Macaca fascicularis: one gene and its partners. The protein of the gene in region 3 interacts with the protein of the main gene of each other region in a biochemical or structural test. Links are inferred from orthologs where the notes say so. Each region holds a gene or a part of one and is shown on either strand. Other genes may lie near its edges.

The links. The genes of interacting proteins can lie anywhere in the genome.
Region 1: the proteins of THRB (region 3) and TBL1X form a complex in vitro, tested with the Homo sapiens proteins (2 studies listed by BioGRID). The link is inferred for Macaca fascicularis from reciprocal best matches to the Homo sapiens genes THRB and TBL1X.
Region 2: the proteins of THRB (region 3) and NCOA6 form a complex in vitro, tested with the Homo sapiens proteins (2 studies listed by BioGRID). The link is inferred for Macaca fascicularis from reciprocal best matches to the Homo sapiens genes THRB and NCOA6.

The regions. Positions count from the first base shown.
Region 1 is NC_088395.1:9,373,461-9,381,186, reverse strand, and holds part of TBL1X (F-box-like/WD repeat-containing protein TBL1X), read right to left. Parts: intron 6,231-7,726; coding exon 6,098-6,230; intron 5,700-6,097; coding exon 5,558-5,699; intron 4,647-5,557; coding exon 4,583-4,646; intron 4,474-4,582; coding exon 4,376-4,473; intron 443-4,375; coding exon 382-442; intron 1-381. UniProt on the Homo sapiens protein: F-box-like protein involved in the recruitment of the ubiquitin/19S proteasome complex to nuclear receptor-regulated transcription units. Plays an essential role in transcription activation mediated by nuclear receptors.
Region 2 is NC_088384.1:90,784,563-90,792,288, forward strand, and holds part of NCOA6 (nuclear receptor coactivator 6), read right to left. Parts: intron 5,002-7,726; coding exon 4,880-5,001; intron 1,103-4,879; coding exon 1-1,102. UniProt on the Homo sapiens protein: Nuclear receptor coactivator that directly binds nuclear receptors and stimulates the transcriptional activities in a hormone-dependent fashion. Coactivates expression in an agonist- and AF2-dependent manner.
Region 3 is NC_088376.1:24,182,761-24,190,987, forward strand, and holds the start of THRB (thyroid hormone receptor beta), read left to right. Parts: upstream 1-3,154; 5' UTR 3,155-3,236; coding exon 3,237-3,564; intron 3,565-8,227.

The sequences.
Region 1 (7,726 bases), on a different chromosome or scaffold from region 3:
ATCAGCCATAGTGCCAAGCCTAACTTTGGATTATGATTAGTTTTTAAGACGGGGTCTCTGGCTCTGTTGCCAGGATGGAGTGCAGTGGTGCAATCTTGGCTCAGCGCAAACTCCATCTCCTGGGCTCCAGCCATCCTCCTAACTCAACCTCCGGAGTAGCTGGGACTATAGGTGTGGACCACCGTGCCTGGCTAATTATTGTATTTTTTGTAGTGATGGGTTTTGCCATGTTGCCCAGGCTGGTCTTGAACTCCTGAGCTCATATAATCCACCTGCTTTGGCTTCCCAAAGTGCTGGGATTACAGGCGTAAGCCACTGGGCTCAACCTGAATTATTATTTTTGAATTACAAAAAAACAAACAAACAAACAAAAAAACTCACCCGAATGAAAAGGAAACTGCTGTTTGGCTTCTCCTGTGTGGGCATCCCAAATTATTGTTGTCTGTGCTCCGCAAACAAAGGAAAAAGTTAGTAACTATTCCCGCAGTTTTCTCTGGAAACATTTATCATACAAGAAAAGACAGTGAGCCCTTCTCCTTATAAACCCACACTGTCCAAGAGAGATAGAGAGTGAGCCTTACGGGCTAGTTTCAATTTTCTAGGATCCACATTAAGAAGAAAGAAACTGGTAAAATTCGTTAGCAATCTATTATGTTTAACTCCAGTATGCCCCTAAATATTACCATTTCAACATGTAATCAGTATCAAAACCTTGCTGGGATATTTACCTTCTTTTTCTCGCATACCACATCATTAAAATACAGCATGTTTCAAACTTAGCAATCTGGATGGCCATGCTTGATGAAGCCATCAGCCACATATGCTGGCATCTCCCTTAACTCATTTATGCCTGAGGTTGCAATTTTTTGAATTCTTGCAATCAGACCTTGGCAATGACCCTGAGCAGTAGGATATAAATAACTCCCACATGCCTAGCATTCCGATAATGGAACACTAGGCATAAATGGGCTTAAGGACAGAGCATCCCTAACGAATACTTGCAAGAACTACCAAAATTGGTAGGAATTCCTCCTCATCCCCAAATGCCAAAAAATGTTGAAAAACCTGGAACAAAGCATCTCTAAAGATCTTTGTGGCATTTTTCCAAGTGAAGGGCTGCAGAAACAAGCATTTCTAAAAATGCCTCTGCCCATCCCTCCATGAACCGGGGACACTAGACATGGCAGAGCCACTGGCTTGCACTGGGGCCAGGCACCGACGTATTGGTCTAACAGTAAGTAGAAAGGTGAGTTTCTCCCTCGGAAAACAAAGGAAATCATGAATTTTTATTAATTTACTCATGCTAGGAAGATACTTAGAAAACCAGCTCAATGAATAGCATTGGAGTTACATCTTCATCAACTGGAATTTTCAACTTAATTGGAAATTTTACACCTCTCTGTTAGTGACACTCAGTCAAGATTTTGCTTTAAAAAGAAAGAGTTCTATTTTGTGTTGACTGTGGACATTTTCAGAGGAAAGCAAGCAGTGAGTCTCTCTGAAACTTGGTACTCCTGGGTTTTGGATCAGTCCTAGACCAATTAACATTTCTTTGTTGGGGTGTAACTCTTCTTAATTTAGCCACGCAAAAACAAATCTAACACTGCAGAGAATATATAAACTCTTTCACAGTTCTGATACCATTTCACATATGACATCAGTGACTGGGTCTCTTAGTTGATGTTAAATATACATTGGACAAAAGAAAACAGTTATGCAAACATTTGAAGAATGTGACACACATTTTAGTCACTCTGTGTTGGTCAATACCAGCATCCCCTAAGTTACATTTTCTCCCCGAGTGTTATGTACAAGGACATTATTTTCACTCCTGCTGTGGTTGACTAAGTAATGATAGTGGATCGCACCCAGCCCAAGAGACTAACATAATTCCACATACGCATTTTCACTGATCACATAGTCCATCACCTGGTGGAGTTAAGACTGATAATCAGTGAGAAAAACAATCACGAATGTTAACAGTCTCCAGGTAGGAAGGAGGCCGGCTATTTAACAAACAGAATTTTTTGTTAAATTTAGAATTCTACGGAAGTTAAAGGGCAGTAGTTACCGGTGACCAGGGCCTGAGTTCCCATCCCTCTGCACCAGCTGTGTGTCCCTAGGCAAATTAATAACCCTCTCTGGGCCTCCAGTTCATCTTCTATAGAATGGGAGTGATCCTACTTGTGCCTGTCTCCTATCTTGGCAGTACTGGATGGGTTAACACACGCAGTAGTGAAGTGCTTGATAAAGAAAAATGCTGTCATTTTCATGAGTTATTTTAATAACTCAAGCAGCAATTACTGAGAGCCTACTGAATGCACAGCAAAGTGCTGCATATGCATGTTACTTGAATTAGAACATCTTGGCAAAAATCCGATAGTAGCTACATAAGAACGTTTATGTGTCAACCACAGCAACTCGGCTTTTAAAATATCATAAACCAGGCTACTAAGTCTGAAAGAAAGGTTTTTTGGCTTAAAAGAGAGAGAGCAATTATAAATGAATGATTTGTTGACCTAGTTATACCCTAGTGCAGGACTTCGCAAACTTTTTCTGTTAAGGGCCAGGTGGCAGGAATTTCAGGCTTTGAGGGCCATCCGGTCTCCCTTGCAACTGCTCATCTCTGCCACTGTAGCATGAAAGCAACCATGGAGAAGTCTCAACAAAGGGGTGTGGTTGTGTCCCAATACAACTTTATTTAAATTAAAAAATCAGGTGAGGAGCCAGGCTTGGCCTGTGTGACAGTTTGCCAAATGCAATTATTTAATTTAGCAATTTCTCCAAAAGTGGGATGATGTTCAGAGGTCAAGTCTATCATTTTATTTATTTGTTTATTTATTTGAGACAAAGTTTTGCTCTTCTTGCCCAGGCTGGAGTGCAATGGCGCAATCTTGGCTCACCGCAACCTCCACATCCCGGGTTCAAATGATTCTCCTGCCTCAGCCTCCTGAGTAGCTGGGATTACAGGCGTGCACCACCACACCCGACTAATTTTGTATTTTTAGTAGAGATGGGGTTTCTCCATGTTGGTCAGGCTGGTCTCGAACTCCCGACCTCAGGTGATCTGCCTGCCTTGGCCTCCCAAAGTGCTGGGATTACAGGCATGAGCCACCGCGCCCAGCCAAGTCTATCATTTTATAATAACTTTCAGAACTAGAAAGAATAGAAAGCTCTTAGTCAGGTTTTTTTGTTTTGTTTTGTTTTTTTTGAGACAGAGTCTCACTCTTCTTCCAGATCCAGGCTGGAGTGCAGAGATGCAATCTCGGCTCACTGCAACCTCCTCTGCCTCCCTGGTTCAAGAGATACTCGAGCCTCAGTCTCCAAGTGTCTGGGATTACAGGTGCCTGGCACCACGCCCGGCTAAGTTTTGCATTTTTAGTAGAGGCTGGGTTTCACCATGTTGGCCAGGCTGGTCTCGAACTTCAAGACTTAGTAAGTTTTCAAGTTATCCTGAAATCATCACAAAATGCAAAGCTTTGTGGAGGCCCGGGCATCCAGTATTCAGGCAATGTTTCCATTTGTTGTAGAAACACAAATTGATGTGAAAACACATCTTTTTTTTTTTTTTTCAATTCTAAATAATATGCTTCTTTTCCAAAGCAATTCCTGCTGAGTCTCGGGAACGCACAACTGTTCCACGAAGGCTGTCTGGGGTCATGACTCCAGCCAGCCCTGTCGCTGGACAAGTGAGGGAAGTGAAATGCAGAGAGGCTGAGGTTTCTGGCTGAATCAGACTCAGGCCCGGGATGAAGTCTGCATCTCCTTACTCTTCGCCCTTGGGTTCCCACCCCATCGATGGCTCTTAAATGCACCTGGAGTTAACGCCACCGTGTATCCCTGCAGCCCTGCCCAGGTGCAGAGCAAGCCAATTCTAAACTGACTCTGTGGGCCATCCGGAGAGTGTGCCCTTGTAGCCAGGTTGCTTGACTGCTGCTCAGAGAAATCTGCAGTCTATGGTGGGAAGCAGCAGTTTATCAAACGAGGAAAGCCGAAGCCTGAAGCACACACACAGCCTGTGCCACTCGCCCCTCAGTGGGTGAAAGTTCACGCGGGGCACACCCCATACCACATGGCTCCTTCCGGCAACTGACAAATGCAATGTGGAGATTTTCCTCTCTCTACCACTGAACCATGTACCTCAAATAAAGGGAAGCTTTGCACAAGGGTCTGCAGGACAGAATATATTAAGAGATGATGTGTTACAAATTAACAGAAAGATCAAAACCACAAAAACAAAGCCTAAACAAATCCTTTTCGTTTCTTAAGGGGAAGCACAAAGCCTAAGAGTTCCAGGAAACCACGATGGTATTTTGAGATTAAAAATATATAACCACCTGTGGATCAAAGGGATATATTTTAAGCTAATACTCACTTTGTCTACACCAGCACTCAAAATGTAATTCCCCTTTCTGTTCCATTTCAAGGCAAAGATGGGGCCTTTATGTTGGCCTAAGGTGCTGGCCAGGTTACCTGTTAGTAAAAACAAACATGTTGACTTCAATGTCACGGTCTGTTCACTCAAGGGTTAAGTTTGGCAACTCCTCTTACCCGACCTCAGCACGAGGGACACAGAACTCACCATCTTCCGTCCATATTCTTGCAAAACCGTCATATGAACCTGTAGCCAAGAGTGTTCCATTGGTCTGAGGGCCAGAAAGAGACAGAAACACACAAAAACAACTTAGGAGTGGCAGCACCAAACAGCTCCAAGAGCCTCTCCCAGGAGCCCGCTACACTGGAACCATTTGCCACTGTGTGTTCCTTAATGACAGAATTGAAAATACCATGCTGAAAGGTATCGCGAAACCTTGCAGAAAATAAAAAGCAGCCAAACTGTGTGCATCCCATGTGTCAACGCACAGGATACCTGCTGCTGAAATCCCAAGGTGGAGGGTCACCTCTCCTGGGCTGCACGTCGTATCTCTCCAGGAGAACTACCTCGGGGCTCCCGGCCTACCTTCCCACCATGAGGCCACAGGCTCATTTTGCTATGGCATGCTCACATGCAAAGATACGGCTACCGAACACACAGCTCGCTGCCTGCCAAATGCAGCCTTGTTAATACCTCTTAGAAGCCAAGACTGGCCGGGGGCAGTGGCTCACGCCTGTAATCCCAGCACTTTGGGAGGCTGAGGCAGGAGGATCACATTGGGTCAGGAGTACGAGAGCAGCCTGGCTGACATGGTGAAACCCCATCTCCACTAAAAATACAAAAATTAAGCCAGGTGTGGTGGCGCGAGCCTGTTAACCCCAGCTATTTGGGAAGCTGAGGACAAGAGAATCGCTTGAACCCAGGAGGCAGAAGTTGCAGTGAGCTGAGATCACACCACTGCATTCCAGTCTGGGCAACAGAGCAAGACTCTGTCTCAAAAAAAAAGAAAACCCACACAAAAAAAGAAGCCAAGAGCACCTCTCTGGCAGCCCATTAGAGTGGGGCTGAGCACACGGGACCACCTGCCTCCTATGTCTGCATGAGCTCCATGGCTGCAGTCCTCCCCTGGTGGCTGGCTGATTTTACCAATTTCAAAGTGCCCAGGGGGTGGAAGACGCTTACATTCCAGTCCAGTGAGGTGACATCTTTGTTACTTGGGACATCGTGGCCCCCTTCTCGTATACAGTGCCTCAACACGAGCTGGGTGGAGCCCCCGTTGCTATTCTCATTCAGGTTCCATATCCTTGCAGTTGAGTCTCCGGATCTGCAGAATAAAAACACAGGAGCCTCTGGCGTTTGGTTCAAACGGGATAAGAAGCTCTCCACAGCTTACTCTCTGGCCAGATGGCATTTTCAGCACGTGCTCTTCTGTCTTTTTCATACCTCTGGATCCCTGTTTCCCTCCTTGCCATCTTTGCATTTGGTAATTTTAAATGCTGTTGTGTTCCTCATCACCACATGAAGAAAATGACTTGGAACGATGGCTTCTCCACAATATGAGACATGTAGAGAAATGGATCATAGAGCCACCCATTCCTCGGTCTGCCCACACTGGGGTAAGAAGGGGAGTGTGTGTTCCTTAAGGCAGAACTCCAGAGAAGGGCAAGAGCCTGCATCTCCCATCTCCCCAACTTTGGAGCGCCCCCATCCTGACATCCTTACCCGGAAGCTAGCAAATCACTGACAGGATTCCAGGCACAAATGAACACCTCGGACTCATGGCCCCGAAGGACTGTGGCTTTGCTGGATGGAATGTCAACCTCTCCATCTATTTCCATTGGCTTCGCGTGATTATCTGTTACAGGAAACACAGAGAGACAAATGGCTTACCAATACAAGAGAAACACACTTAAAGGGCGCTTTTGTTTCCAGAAATATTTCTTTTTATGTACTAAGTAATACTACCTCTGATGATCCCTTTTCTTTTCTTTCTTTTTTTTGAGATGGAATCTTGCTCTGTTGCCCAGGCTGGAGTGCAGTGGCGCAATCTCGGCTCACTGCAACCTCCACCTCCCAGGTTCAAGCAATTCTCATGCCTCAGCCTCTCAAGCAGCTGGGATTACAGGCACCCGCCACCACACCTGGCTAATTTTTGTATTTTTAGTAGAGGCGGGGTTTCACCATGTTGCCAGGGTTGGTCTCAAACTCCTGGCCTCAAGTGATCCACCTACCCCAGTCTCCCAAAATGCTGGATTACAGGTGTGAGCCACCGCGCCCGGCCTACCTCTGATGATTCTAGCGAAATCGTGGTTTTAGTGCAATTTAGTAAATATTTTAGGTTTCTTTATATTTTGACAGTCTCTAAATTTCATTGAGGAATAAAAACAATTTGCTAAGTGCAGGGGCTCACACCCAAAATCCCAGTGCCTCAGGAGGCTGAGGAGGGAGGATTGCTTGAGACCAGGAGTTCAACAGCAGCCTGGGCAACATAGCAAGACCCCATCTCTATTGAAAAAACAAAAAAACAAAAAAAAAATTAGCCAGGCATGGTGGTACACACCTGTAGTCCCAGCTACTCAGGAGGCTGAGGTGGGAGTATCCCTTGAGCCCATAAGGTTGAGGCTGTGTGAGCTATGATTGTGCCACTGCACACGCACACCAGCCTGGGTGATAGTTACTCTTTATAACTGGGGCCAGCTAACTACAGCCCATGATCCAAACCTAGTCCCTGGCTGCTTCTGCATAAATAAAGTGTGACTGGCACACAGCCGCTCCACATGTTTTCAAATTGCCTATGGCATGGCTACTGTTATGGGCCAAACTATGTCCCCCTAAAATTCATATCTTGAAGCCCCAATTTCCAGGACCTCAGAATGTGGCTGTATTTGGAGATAGGGCTTTCGAAAAGGTGAGCAGGGTAAAAGGAGGTCACAGGGGTGGGCCCTAACCCAATGGGACTGGTGTCCTTATGAGAAGAGGAGATCAGGACACAGACACAACCAGGGGAACGAGCAGGTGAAGACATGGAGAGAAGACAGTCTCTACACGCCAAGAGAGGCCTTGCGAAGTAACCAGCCCTGCCCACACCTTGATCTCAGTCCTCCAGCCTCCAGAACTGTGAGAGCAAATTCTTAAGCTGCCTGGTGTGTGGCCTTTTGTTATGGCAGCCTGAGCGGACTCTCACAGCGGCTTTTGCACTATGACAGACTTCAGCAGCCGTGACACAGACTGCATGACCCTCAAAGCCTGGAACATTTACTGTCTGTCCCTGTAAAGAAAGTTTGCTAGCCCCTGGTTTATACTCCCGAGAAAGCAGCAATATAGCCTGATCATCAAACAATTAGCTACGGT
Region 2 (7,726 bases), on a different chromosome or scaffold from region 3:
CTACTGGCCCCAGGACTAGACCTGCGACTGTTGCTTGGACTTGCCCGTTTTGTTGCTCCAGAATTAGACTGCTTTCCAGAATTCACTACCACAGAATCTAATTTGTGAGTTTGTGGGGCAGCAAAATTGGAAGGATTCATGGTAAGATTTGAAGGTGCTTGCCCGATGGCCTTCAAAGTTGTTGGATTTAGGCCTTGTTGATCAAAGCCCCTGTTTAAATTTGGCCTAGGAGGTAAAGGAATATTAATCTGTGGAGGGAAGAGTCCTGCTATGGAAGCATTGAGTCTTTCTGGTGACAGACTGATTTCTGAAGGTTCTGTGCTGGGAGGGCGGTTGTTGGGTGTCTGAGGATAATAGGGTCTGGGGCTGGCTCTGTTTGGTGTTTTGGGCCTAGATGTCTGGGTTGGCGCGGCCACATTTGGAAAGTGGTGGCCATGAGAGCTGGGCAGAGAATTTACAGGGGGTTGCTGGGGAGTTGCACCTTGAGTTGCTGAAAGGGGCGATGGTCCAGGTTTTGGCCCTGTCATCATTAACTGATTCTGGGGAAGTACTACATGTGAAGGCATGTTGTTTGGGCCTCCTGGGACAGATGGTGCTTCACTGCCACTTGCTTCAGGGAGCGAGGCCATCTCCGCCAGTGGCGAGCTGGAAGGATTCTGCGGGCTCTCCTGATAGACCATTTTCCTTGAATTGCTTCCCAAAGGAGTATTCACAGGCATTGGCATTCTTTGTTTATCAGGTGATGGTGGCACGGAGGCAGGTCCTTGCAGACTGACCATGACAGGCACACTGCCACTCTGTTGCATGGGCATTCTCTGGGAGTCGGGGTTCAGGGGGGCCCTTGGAGGATGGACACTTTGAGAGACTGGAAGCCTAACTGATTTGGGATCCTGCTGCATCATGAGCATCATCATCATTTGTTGCTGCTGCTGCTGCTGCTGCTGCTGAGACTGTGGCTGACTGGGAGGTGGTGGCTGCTGCTGCTGAGGCAGTTGTGGCTGTGGCTGCTGCTGTGGTGGCTGTGGTGGGGGTGCCACATGCTGCATGAGTTGAGGAGGCATCTGCTGAAGTGGCCTCTGTTCAACTGGTTGAGAAGGATAACCTAAAACAAGCCCCCCAAATCAGGGAAGTTAGATTTTTCAGCAAGAAAATGTTGCTACCTTTAGAGTATAGCCAAGCAATACTCATCTAGGTGGCACAGACTATGCACAAACAGCTCAGGCATGCCCACTCCTGGGGCAGGGGGCAGCCCCTCATTACTTGACATAAGCAAAAGGGGCACAGTGCTTAAGGAAGCAAAAAGCAAAGCATCAAAAAACCTGGAGCTCCTTGGTGTGTAGGGTCTGAATGAGCCATGACTGTACTAAGAGCCTGATTTTCTGTGCTATGCACTGAAAATGGCTGTGTCTATACCAGCCAAACATTCAGATGAAATGATAAAAACTCCATCAACAGCAAGTGCCTGTCTACCCAAGATTCAGATCTCATGTAGTCATAATCAATATTTCAATGTACTTGTGAATGAAGTAAAGCATTTAGGATTCACTTCTTCTGTTAGCATAGGAATAATTTTTTTAAAGATGTGGTTTTATTGAAAATAACAGCATTGAAGACAGCCTTTTTATTCTTTCAACAGAAGTAAAATATAAAATTCTAGAATTCAGTTCCTTAAGAAAGAGAAATTTAAAATTATTCCAATTCATTGGCTCCATACACTATGCCGCATCCTTCAGGATTAATCCTTTGGGGGAAACCAACTGAATTAAAATTGCCCTTCAGATGTAAATCAGTTTAATAAACAGTAGGAGTTAATGGAAGCTGATATACACATTGAAAATAAAATTAGGGCACTGAAGTTTTTATGGATATTAATTTGCACTTAACTTTCTTACATGCAAATCTCTATTTGGAGAAATATTTTCCATGAATCCACAGTTGGAGAATAAGGAAGGCGGAAGCATAGCCCTCAGGAATAAAAAATAATTCTGGAAAAAGAACCCTGAAGGACAATGTCTTCTAGATATGCAGAGGGCAACATCTCAAATTATTCTCTTTTTTGTGAAGATTTTACTTGGCATTTTAGAACCAAAACCTCACAATCAGAAAAGATAAAAAGTTACACAAACTGGCCAGGCGCGGTGGCTCATGCCTGTAATCCCAGCACTTTGGGAGGCCGAGGCGGGCAGATCACCTGAGGTTAGGAGTTCGAGACCAGCCTGACCAACATGGTGAAACCCCGTCTCTACTAAAAATACAAAATTAGCTGGGCATAGTAGCGCATGCCTGTAATCCCAGCTACTTGGGAGGCTGAGGCAGGAGAATCGCTTGAACCCGGGAGGCAGAGGTTGTGGTGAGCCAAGATTGCGCCACTGCACTCCAGCCTGGGCAACAAGAGCAAAATTCCATTTCAAAAAAAAAAAAAAAAGATACGCAAACCAAGAATAACGGTAGTTCTGTGGGAAAAAGTGGGCATACAGCTGTGCACATGTGGGATACAATTCCAGTTCCACAAACTAGATTTATTCCATTGTTGCATGAAGAGTACATTGGGGAGGTTTTAAGAAGGTGTAGGAATAAGAGCAATTGGCTCTGGCGGTCAAAAGAAATGCTGACTCAACATTTTCATAGAGCAGCTACCAAATTTTGTGGGTCAGACTCAGTACTCAATAGCTAATTAATGTCTTCTGGCCAAAGATTTCCATGGTATCAACAAATACAATGTGTAGAATCCAGTTTTGAAGATTTTTTTAAAAATCCTTTTTTATTTTAGGCCCGAGTACCTTCTTGACCTTTATAAAGCCAATAACAGATGGCATTTCTATGGTTCAATTGTCCTTTAGACTATATAGTCAAATATAGCAGGTTCCTATTTTTCACATTCAGTCTGGGGTTCCCACATTAAGAAAATCATAATTTCTGCAAAAGCCTGTTGATGTCAGGGCTATGACATGGATGCCTTTTATCTTTAAAATCAGCCCACCAGACAGTAAATACCAAAGAGGACAGCATAGACAATACAGCAGCCTCTCAAAGGTAACAGTTAAGGGCATGGCTGCTACAGAGTCTAGAAGCTGGAGGCAGCAGTCCAAAAGGCACTAATGATAAGATAGATTGGGGTTGATGTGACAGAATGGTGAAGAGGGAAAGCCAGGACACACACAGTGCCCATAACACAGTCACAAACCAAATTTATTACTCAGGGAATGCAAACTCCTATGCCTTTAGGGGTCAGGCAGGTAGTAGAGAATAGAAGTGGACTGGTATAAGATAGCAAGAGTCCTGTCAACAATGCCAAACTGCAGAGCAGATGCCCTCTTTAAAGGCATTTAAATTCAGACTTTTGTTTAAGACACTGCATAGCAACTCAAACCCATTATAGGCCAAATTCAGCCTGCAGGTCCCCAGTTTGCAGAAAGAAGGCAATAAATGTATACAAAGACCCTGGGATTCATATAATATAGAAGAGTTGCCTCAGATGTGTCTGAGGCAAGAAGGCATGTTCCTGTTCTCAATGCCTTCTGGACATATTCCCCAAAGACTGATGACCACCCAGTCTCAGCTATGCCGCTGCATCTCACTGATGGGAAGTGTGATATGCCCAAACAATTTGTAATAAATAACACAAAATATTGATATAATGATGGATTTAGCTTTTTGTTTGGATTCACTTTTAAAATACATAAATCAGGGGTAGATTAAAGTTTATTCCTAAAATAATGTCACTCTCATTTTCATGCCAAAAAGGAGCTGAAATAACTAGTGAGGAAGAAACAAAACATACCCTCTGTACATACAGGAGAGAGTAGCCTAAGTGTGAAGGGTTGTGCATTCTCAACCGTGTCATAGGGGAATAAAGTTACAAGTCATTGCTCAGGCCAAGATAACTAGGTTTAGAGATATTGTGGCAGCTGGCTTTGGTTCTATAATATCCATGTTTGAATGAATTAGTTTTAGGAGCTTTTCCATTGTTGACATAATTTTTCAACATTTAAAGGATAGTATTATTTTATAATCAGAGAGGGTACAACAAAGGGGACTTCCAATATTGGTCCTATTTATTATAAATTATTAACCTACGTGGCAGAAAAATGGGTGTCTCTTTTCTTTATATCTTTTTTATATTTTAAAGACTCAATAATGAAACTTCTATAAAAAAGATCACCTTGTTTTAAACCCTGGTAGTTCCCTGCTTTGAAAAAGCCCCAGGAAGAAACGCTGCAGGAAAGGCAGGTAAGCAGGATTAGAGTGAAATCATCTCTCCATTTAATCTTATCCTGTTCTGATGCCAACTAGAACCTTGACATTGACAAGAATAAAGAGGCACTTCACATTTCAGGGTTTTTTTTTTTTTTTTGAGACAGGGTCTCACTCCTGTAGCCCAGGCTGGAGTGCAGTGGCATGATCATGGCTCACTGCAACTTCAATTTCCTGGGCTCAGGTGATACTCCCACCTCAGCCTCCTGAGTAGTTGGGACTGTAGGTGTGTGTCACCATACCCGGCTAATTTAAAAAAAAATTTTGTAGAGACAAAGTTTCACCATGTTGCCCAGGCTGGTCTTGAACACTTGGGCTCAAGCAATCTGCTCACCTTGGCCTCCCAACGTGCTGGGATTACAGGTGGATGAGCCATCGTGCCCAACCCCATTTCAGTCCGATTTTATGAGGACTTAAAATAACAAAGACAAATTTGAATAGAATGTGTGTATGTGCCTTCAAAAGTTATATCTGAAATTTTTACTCAATACCAAGGCGAGACACATTAAATCACTGAAGTAGACTAGTTAGCAGATAAAATACTATTGTTTCCTCGAAGACAATGAAGCCTTGTAATGCCACATGCACATGTGATAAGTGTATAATCTAGCTAACATTTTATCACCTGGTGGCCGGTTTGAAAATTCTGGCAGTTTAGGGCCTGAGTTATCCAAGTTAATTCCTTGTTCTCCAGGCAATGGTGGCTGATCAGCCTCTTCCAGACCAGCTGGGCGAGTATCTGGGGTGCTAAAAAAAAAAAAAAAAGTAACATATTTTAGAATAAGTTGCATAGAAAATACACAAAACTAGCTTAACCCTTCCTCTATTTCTGAAGAACTAAAATGTTTGTATTACCATTATTCATCTCTCTCTAGTGTGGATAAAACATTAAATATTGGCATAAAAATAATCTGGCAATTTCATTAAATGTTAAAATCCACTTAATTTAACAGCACTGTATTTACTCAAAATGCTTTCCACAAATTCCTGATGCAATAATTTTCATGTAACCACCCATTCCTTAGATGTTTTTAAGACTTGATCATAGGGCTATCAATGTTATAAGATATTATTCCTGTGAAACCACACTATCTCCAATGTAGCGATCAAATTCAACTACAGGGTCTGATTGTTTCTTTTTTGTGGATATAACAGTGGGGGCTCAATTCATAACACCTTGCAAAAGGGTGTATAGGTTGGCTGATGGAAATGGTGTTCAGAGAACAAATAAAGATTGAGACCACCACAACAAAAATTTTGCTGCAGAATGTGCAGACATCTCTATTGGCTTTGAGATGCCTTCACTTTTACCTGGGTGTAGCTTAAAATTTTCAGTGGGGAAGAAAAAAATGAAGAAAATGTAGCTACTAACATCCACATTCTCAAAGAACAAGACAGATCATGGGCCTCATTTTGTTTGTAATCTCAGTACTAATTGTACTTTTCTATCTTTAGTTTCCCTTTGCCCTGATTTTGTTCACCCACTTTTAGGTAGTGTTTTGTCTCACTCTACTGTGTACAGTTTCATAAGCCACCAAAATCCATTTTAAAAGCCCCCTAGCACATGGAAATTTAGAACCTGAAGCAGATCTTTAGCACATCCAGACCCCCGTAACAATTTGCTCCTTGTAAAACTTCTCTCACTTTAAATTACAGGCAAAGATTCAGTGGTAACCCTTACTTTCAGAAAATTGTAGAGCTAAGAAATCTCAAATATCTGGTCCAGCCCCCTCATGTTTTTTTTTTTTTGAGACGGAGTCTCGCTCTGTCGCCTAGGCTGGAGTGCAGTGGTGCGATCTCAGCTTACTGCAAGCTCTGCCTCCTGGCTTCACGCCATTCTCCTGCCTCAGCCTCCCAAGTAGCTGGGACTACAGGCGCCTGCCACCTCGCCCGGCTAGTTTTTTTGTGTTTTTTAGTAGAGACGGGGTTTCACTGGGTTAGCCAGGATGGTCTCGATCTCCTGACCTCGTGATCTGCCCGTCTCGGCCTCCCAAAGTGAAGGGATTACAGGCGTGAGCCACCATGCCCCGCCTGCCCCCTCATGTTATGAATGAGAAAACAAAGGCCCAAAAAGGTGTGTGAAACAGGCCCAAGATTTCACAGTGAACTAGTGGTAGAGCTGGAAGCAGGTACTTTTCCTGTAAACCCACTGTCTCCCTTTCCTAGGAGTCCTGATGCTGTATAAGGTCGCTTTCACAATTTGTAGACCTAAGTAAGCAATTTCCCTAAGGGCTGGTGAAGATGGCAAAAAATGCACACTAGAGGCAACTGAATAACCTTGCAATTTTACTCCCAGACTATCGAGAGAATAAAATATTTATTAAATAATTATTCCCACAGATTGATACTAGTAAAGAATTTAACTGAGAAAGAGCTATCAGAAAAATTAGATAATTAAGTTTGAATTCAGAAAAATATGTTATTATTAATAATATACCATGATAAGCTTTTAAAGTATAAGATTCAAGAAGCAGCAAGTGAGCATGATATAACACAGTACAAAGAATATTGTGGGAAGGCTGGGATAAAGGTAGTTGGTTTAATTTTGAACATTTAAGCTTGTTGAAATAAAGTTTCTTGATTCTTTTTCTATAATTCTAACAATTTGTTTCAATTAACCTGTTTTACATTCATTAGCCATTATTTCCTCATAATAAATGTCTCTAAATTTTAGTTTTATGATTAAAGGCACAAAATATAGCTCAATGAATATTCCTTCTGGAAACATTTTATCAAACCCAGAAACACAAATTAATACTTAGCTTCAGGAAATGAAATATAAATTGTTAATTGCCTTTCCTGCTATGATCTTGCAATATAACTCACCTGGAGAACGTTTACTGAAAGGGTAACTGATTTAAAAGGTCCAATCATCTTAGCGTGGGGTTTTAAGCTTCTAGGGATGATAAAGAGCCTTTAAAGGAAAGGCACCTGTGCAAAAAAACCATTTCTATTTGAGAGACAGCAGTAGTTTTAATTTCCAAAACACATTTGGCCTCTCTGGTTCCCCAATAGCCATCATAGGCCTGAAGTCAGTGCTTTGTGGAGTTACCATATGGAAGCACTGGTTACTTTTCAGGCTCTGATTGCCAAAACCCCCCTGACACTGTAGAATTAAGAGATATACCAGCCAATTGCAACATATGAATCTTGTTTGGATCCTTATTTGAACAAATTGTAAGAAAAAATTTTGAGATAATCAGGGAAGTTTGAACACCAGATATGAGAGTACTAAGGAAGTATTAGTTTTCTAGGTGTGCTAACAATATTGTGCGGGAATATTAAAAACTGTCCTTATCTTTTAGAGACACACACTGAAGTATTTACCAAGTGAATTTGCTTTGAAATACTCAAGAGGGTAATGGAAGAGAGTACAGACGAAGGCAAGATAAGCTATGAGTTGATAATTGCTGAAGCAGGGGGATTTCATTATACTATTCTAGTTTTATATTATGTAAAATTTTCCATCAAA
Region 3 (8,227 bases):
TAACCTCAGAACTTCTTTTAACAATCTTGATGCTAAAGTTTCATCCCATAATTATTAAAGCGGACTTTCTATGAGTCACACCTAGGCATATATATATATATATATATATATATATATATGGAAACACTTCTAATCGGAATTATTAAAGTCCTCCTGAGTTTATTTAAGGCAGTTGGATGCATAATAAGTGAAATAACTCTTAAGCTGCTCTTTAAATAATTAGAGCAGGCAATCAAGAAAATAAGACAATAGCCTCACTGAAGCTTACCCCGTTTGTGACACATAATATGTTTAGATGGTTTTATTGACTTTACAAAGAAGCATGCAAGGCTGATCACAGGCGACAGATGTGATTGCTTCTATCAGGATGTGAGGGGCCATATTTCACATTCAATGTGAGTGTTGAGCTCCATTTTCAACTACTAGTAATGAGAGTTGTGTGCATTCGTTACAAGTAAAGAGTATTCCCATTTGGTGTGGAGTGTGTTTCAGAATGTTTTGTTCTGTTTTCTCCAAACAGTACACATTAGGGAGGAAGTGAGCTCTCTTAAATATGTTTTGAAACTTTTTTTAATGTAAAGATTTCCGAGGGGATTCAAGATTTTTTTAATTCAATAAAAATGCTGTTGACCGTTCAGATGTTTAGTAAAAAGTGAGAGAAAGTGTTTCAGCAGCTCTCCTTTCCTTTTTCATTGCAGTGTTTATATCCAGTTTCAGGGGAGGATAACTGTCCAATTTTTCAAGCACATTTAGAGATTTCTGAAAATTATTTTTAAGTGTTCCTTTGGAATAAAAGTTGAGTCTCTGATTTTAGTTGATATTGTCACTGATGAGAAGCAAGAAATTGCTTGGATTTCTGCCTTTAATGAAAAAGAGAGGGAGCCAGGAAATGCACTGGGCAAAACTGCAAAATCGAATGGATTCAACATGCAGCTCTTAACCAGAAAAAGAGACTTTGAAACATGTGCATTTGCCAAAAAAGAAAACTGCTTTATTGAAAGGTTAATTTTCATATTAGGCTTGGGAAATTTGAGATAAATAAATGAGATCAGACAAAAAAAAACCATAAGGCCTGGATTCTTTTTCCTGGGGTTTTCAGAAAATAGTTATTGCTTCCAGTGAAATGTTTTGACATTTCCAGTAGGGAGAAAATGTTAATTGTAATATTGTGTATGTGTACTTAATAACACTGAATAAATCTTTTATTTGTTTTAAGAGTAATAAGAAAGTAAAAACACTATTAAAACGTTAGCTGTCTTCTTTATTCCTTATGGTAACTTTTCATGCTTTCTAGGATATTGTGATTCATTTTACAGGTTCAAATATATACCAACTGAAGAACATGCTTTTGCTTGTTTTATATCAGTTGTAGTTTTTAAAGGAGTCTTATTACTATCCTCCACATAGATCTTCCTGGGTCTCTTTTCTAATTTTGTCGCATCTTTTGCTCATTCGATAATTCCTCACCTTTTTCCGTTGAGTCCATGGCTCCTTTACTACATTTATGAAAAGTCAGCACTTAAAGACAGCACAATGATGGTCCACTTGACTGTATATTTAATTAAGCTACCTTTTGGCAGAGACAGTGATTTTTTTCTGAACAGCCATCTCTGTAGCCACCAACTCCTTGCTTTGTACTTAACAGACACCCCATAATTTGTTGAATGACTGTAATACCCTCCTTACTTCTGCCATATGTCCCTGCCCCAGAATTCCATGTTGCAATTGATGACTGGAGCTACATGTCCAAAGCAAAGGTCTCACTGTTGAAAATTACAATATTACGTTGTCGATGGTCCTTTAGAGAGAAATACCAACACGGTCACATGCTCATGGACCAGCAGGAAGCCAAAGGTAAACGTCACCACCTGAGGCCCAGCCCTGAAAACAGGCTGCCTAAGAAACAGGACTCGCCAGTGTAGAAGAGCAGCATCTGCCCTTCCTGATGTCATGATCTACAACTATGCATATACGTGACATGCACACACAGGTCACCATCCACAGGGAGAAAATACTATTAGTAATCATCTTAGCAAGCATTTACAATCTAATTTGGTATTTGTTAACTTCTTAGTTAAAAGATATGATGATTCTTACAGAAAATGCTGTTCCCTTTTTGATCACTATCTTTAAGTAACTACATGAATACCACTTAAATCACATTAAATCTTGAAAATAATCTCAAAAGCAGTTTTGAATGGGAATAAAGTGATAAGTGTTTACAGTTTTCCACGCACTACTCATCAGAGTACTATTAAGCACCAACAGAAAAGGAAAGCTGCTATATAATAGGGGTATTCCTCATATAGGGGCATTGGCATACACTCTCCCTCATGCCTTTATAAAGAAAACATAAAATACAGAATTGAACAGTTAACATAAGCTTTAGGTCTCATGTAGATTAGTGCTTATGAGGTAGAAAATAATCATGTGCAAGGAACAGAATAAAACTCACTCGCAGACATCAGCAGCATTTTCAACTGTATACTTCTTTGGCATGTTTTAAAAACCAGTGGGACCTATGTGTCATGGGAAGATGGTTGGATCCTAGTATTAAAAGCCAGTCAGTAACATTCAACAACAGATTCAACCAGTAACATTTGCACAGCTAGATTAATGTTTTGGAGTCAGTCAGTCATCAGGCTCATTACTACTGGATTTTCTCTGGTTCATGCTAATAAACTAGATTATTGATTTTAGGATTTTCTTTGTATCCAAGGATATTCTCTAAGATGTCTTTATAATGTTTCATGCTTAAGCTGTCCAGCAAAATGACATAACAATGAGTAATCGTTTTATAATCACGTTGAAAGGGGTTAAAAACAGCATATAAAATGAATCTTAGCAGCTTCATAGAAACATTCTCGCTGCCACTTCCCTATCTGGGTGGAGGTCATTCCTACCTGCCTGCCATCTTCCCCAGGAATTAACTAGCTGCATGCACAGCTTAAGACCTTTGATAGTCATAAATCTGCTTTCCAATATGTTTGGATGGCAGAAGAGCTCAAAAGACACCTCAGTCTAAATAGGATTTTAGCACATCAGGTGCTATTACAAAGTAAAGCAGGCTGGGTTGCTGTGTTGGTGGTGGTGTTTATTCATCTTCCCTTCGCGTTTCATGTGTATGTATGTATGCTTCTCTGCGTATATGCCCAGCTCTCAGGGTGTATGGGGCTGGAGAATGCATGCGTAGAGTGTGTGTATATGTAAAGTAGAAACTGAACCAGGGAAACAAAATGAACTACTGTATGCAAGAAATATATGAAGTGCACCCAGCTGCCGGCAGCAATTGCTACATGCAGTCCACTGATTATTACGCGTATTTTGAAGATAGTCCGGGTTACAGTGGTTGCGATGCTCAGGCTGTGCCCAGTAACAACATATATATGGAACAGGCCTGGGCAGTGAATCAGCCTTATACCTGTAGTTACCCTGGAAACATGTTTAAAAGCAAGGACTCTGACTTGGACATGGCCCTGAATCAATACAGCCAACCTGAATATTTCACTGAAGAAAAGCCTACTTTTTCTCAAGTGCAGTCGCCATCGTATTCTCAAAAAAAAGGTAGGGACCATTTTGCTTAAATGTGTTCAAAGTTTCACTGTTTGTTTTCGTTTCGTTTTAAAGTTACAGTTTACATCAGCTTCGTCAAATCTTTGAATGTGAACGCTATTTGAAATTAAAAACGGCAGTAAGAGGGGTTGCTAGGTGATTGAAGGACTCTGTGAACATCAAGATTTCCAAGCACTTTTTTTCTTCATCTGTGAAAGCTGGTGTGAGTTGGCTTTCTAGGCTGTATTTTGCTATGTGTGTGTATATATTGCCCAAAGTGACTATTGTTGGCTTCTTGGCGAAAGAAAATATGCGAAAGGTTTCCAGTTGGTGGGTAGGTGTTGTGGTGTCTGAAGTGGGATAATTCTCCCCAGTTCAGGTTCAGATTAAAAACTCATTTGACTTTTTCTTGGCACTTCATTTTGAAAGTTTATTTTCGTTAACTAGTAAAATATGTTAGTGATTTCTTTGACAGTGCTATAATAATGTTGATTTGCTAGGATCTGTAAATGTTCATTTTAATGTATTTACTTATCCATGTAAACAGTAAAGAGTCTATTTGTAACCATGTCAAACTGTAAGAATGTAAAACTCAAACAAAAACTGAGAAACTTTACCTTGCTATTTTGTCCCTAAAGTTGAACATGTCTGCAATCATATCAAGTGAATTCTCTTTATGAAAGGAAGTGAAACACCCTTCAAAATAGCCAATATTAAAACCAGTAAAATATCCATATATCTTAATAGACACCGTGGCTTTATAATGCTGTTTAAATTTCTGTCAATAGAACGTATCTTGCATTACTGAAAAATAAGATACTGAAAAATAAAATAAGGGAGGCAAACAGGTAGAACTCAGGACGTTTAGTAGCAACTGCCAGATAGGAATGCTTTTGAAAACAGTGTAAATTCTAGTGCAGATACGCCAGAATCTCATGTGTTCTGTATATAATCTATAGGATATTGCATAGAGAACCAAATTTACAAGGTTCTGTAATTTACAAAAACATGATGCCCTTTGATCCTCAAAGGTAAATTTCTCTGTTAAATTAATCTTAAAACATAATGTGGTTTATTTAGTTGTGGTTTCTATAAAATTTATCGTTTGCTTTTCTTAGTGTGACTCTATAATTGAAAGTAGTCTGTTATGAAAACAAATGAACAAAATTTTATAAAAACAAAAACTAGAATCTGTAATTTTTACTACATATAGTGTTATTCTATAACTTCCAAGTATGAAATATTAAGGAGATTACAGCATAAAATATAGAGTTGCTCATCTTGATTTTTATTTATAAACATGGAGTTTTGCGTCCTTTTGAAGGTCGTCAGAATCTCATTTCTTACAAGAGACACACAGAGTAAGTCCCCTAATGGAAACACTTGAGATAGATTGAACATGTGCTATTTCACTTAATAGTGTAAGTAATTTAACTTTGAAAAGAAGAAATTAACATTGCCTCATTAAACATACTTGGATATGCCTTTTGTAGTGTTATAAGAAAATATTGGTGCCTGTCAATCTATGTGGTCATTCTGCTATTCTTAAAAATTCCTGCAGAACTTTTGAGGTTCTTTTCTCTTTTCACTGTATTTTCTTCAACCAACACTGGGGAATATTTGCTTATAAAATGTTAAACCAGGGATTCTTTACTAATTAATTTGATGCATGAACTAGAGGAAAAGACACATTGTATGCATATATTGATGTAATTTCAAAGCCATATGTCATTGAAAGGCCACCGCCACCTGCCAAAGTCACTAAATCAAAGCAGGCAAATATTCTTAAATGCACCATTATTTACTTTTACAAGTCTTCAAGTAAATCCCAGTAAAACTAAACCCAGCTGTTAACTGTCTCTTAGGACAAAAGGTTGTACCCAACATGTTTATCCATATTGATCCACTATTGATTTTTGTTGTGTTGAAGGACATCAGTAGTGTCTCATTAAGGCAAAATTAAGACTATAAACAGGTGTTCAGTGGGGTAGGCCTCATTTTCCAATTGGATTTTTATCTATTCACAATAGATAAAAATTCATAATTGCTTCATCTGTGTTCACTTCTGTCATTACAGCTTTATAAACTCCAATAATGCAGCTGTCTTAACTTTTTCTTTATTTTTTTTAAGGATGGCTTATTTCCTAGCCTTTATTTTCTAGTATACAGAGAATCTTATAGAAAAATTACAATCTTATAAAAAAATTATAGGTACAAACTGGTGAAATAAAGGAAGGCTACCCTACCCAATGTTAAGAATGGTTATCTTAATTGGTGGACTTTAGAATAACTTTTAGTTTTCTTTGGATTGTTTTTCTACAAAGGTTTTTTGCATTCATAGCCGAAAGAAGAAGTTATCAAGCTCTGGAAGCATTAAGAACATGAACTAAGGAAGAATCAGATGTCAGTTCATTGAATCACATTTAAAATAAAGCTTCAAGAATTGAGGAGGGGAAAACCAATGTAATTTTCACATTGCGGAGGGCTGAAATGCAGAATGTAATGTGTGTCTTATTTTTCATATGGATTATAAAAAACAAATTTGTAATTTTCAAGAACCCTATCATTCACTCAGAAGATATGATATTTACTGTAATTCTAGTGACATAGCTGTGCAAAGGTATGCTAAGTCCTCACAGGGCCAGTGCTGGCTGCACACTTCTGGCCCCCACAAATTCAGGGGAAGGAGGGAATAAGTCTAGAATCAGATGGAGGAGAATTGGCAACTAGGTTGTTTGTTGTGCTTTCTCCTCTGTGGCTGAGGTTTCAGCAAAGTAAAAAGTTGACTTTTTTTCTCCTTCTTTTCTTTTTTTTTTTTTTTTTAAAAAAAAAAATCCTTTTGTGGGTAGAAGTGCTGGCTGTTTCCATCACAAATTCTAATTACATTCTGAAGTTCCCGAACAGCCTGCATCTTCATCTGGTTGCTCTGAAGGCAGCTTTGCAGGTCAACCTCTCAATTTAGTGTGGGCCGGTTGGGTCTGTTGAAACAGAATCCCTCCTAGGAGTTTTCCCTGGGCAACTCTCCTCCACGGGATTATTTGCTTGACCTTCTACATGCCGTCTTACTTGATAGGAACTGCATGTTCGAAAAGTTGCCTGAGTTTGTTATCATGTCCAAGAGAATAAGAATTTCCTGTTTTTAGGCCAGGACCAAGGAGATGGGGCTGGGGGTGGGGGTGGGGGAGGGTTGTCCTATTCAGTTTTGGTTCTGATTGTATATGTTGTTGCTCTACAACCACATTTTTAGTTGTGCAGAAAGAAAAATTAATAACCGAAGCAGAAACTCCACACAGGACTGTGCTTTCTGAATCTGGTTTCATTGCCCCTCTGACTTGGACACAGAATTCTGTCTTTTTGTACGTGTGTGTGTGTTCTGTAGCTCTGTTGACTCCAGGTGAACAATTAGATAGGCATTTGAAATAAAAATTAAGTGGCAAATTGGGGAATGTTTCTTTCTCAAGCTTTCCTTTCCTTTCCTTCTTCCTCTCCCTCTGTCCCTCTCTCCTACTTTCCCTCCATCTCTTTCCTCCTCTATCTTCTCTTTCTCTCCCTCTCTCTCTCATCCTTACTCTTCCCCTCTACTTGAATTTTTTAATTTAAACACAGATGTGATCAGTCCACCCAGTGAGCTGTTGAGTACTAAATAAATAATCTCTTTTAAATGTAATAGTTAAGTGGTTAATGCAATCATAGATTTTTCAACAATGTGTATGTAATTTAAGGATGTGATGGAAAGTTAGGATTTTAAATTAGGTACTGCCACCCATTTACGGTTCAGAGAAAATACCACTCCAGAAAACAATACCACGACTTTTAAAAATACAGAACACATTCACTGTACAAAAGGTTAAATGAAAGTGCCTCTTGGCACCCAGAAATGAAAGCAAAGTAAGGAGCAATAATCATTTCCAAACCAAGTCCAAGTGCAGACAAAAGCATGAGCTGATTCTTTTCTTTCCTTTTCTTTCCTGAGAATTAACTCTCTTGTCAAAGACATGTCCTTCAGAGATTTCACTGAATGCCCTCACCTCATCCAGAGCATGCATTGCTCCTACTCACAATGAAAGCTAACAGTAGGAGTCCAAAGAATTATGAGCAAATGGAGTCAGACGCCTGGCAGGCTTGCAGAGGAATGGTGGCCCTGCTGGCCTTCTGCATATGGAGTTCATATCCACCACCTCACATGCCTCCATGAATACTTCTTCATAGTCAAGCACGCTTTTTTCTCAGCTTTCAGTCTGAAATCAAGCTGCTTCCCTCCCTGCCACCCACTCTGGTCCAGCTTTTATGATCCCATCATCTTATGGGTCCTTGGCTTCACCGGTACCCAGTTGGTTATCTGTATTCTTCCTGTTTCCAGAGCCTTGGGAATACTGAGTTTCCCGTGCGCTGTCCTTGGTACTTCCCTCTCATCCGCTCCCTTGGTACCAGCTGTTGTAAAGAATTTCCTCAGCTCTCTCGGAGACTCCTAGAATGTGCTTTCGAGCAGTCACCCCACACACCTGCTTTCCTTATCTGCAGATACCTGCGCCATATTTTCCTGCCTTTCTTCCCTCCAGGTTCACCCTCTCTTGCTTAAAGCCTTCTGCTTCCAGCCACTCAGGGGCAGTTCTTCCCCATACTCTGCACCACCACAGGGCTCCTTCTCAAGGTTTTGGGCCCTTTTCTATTACCA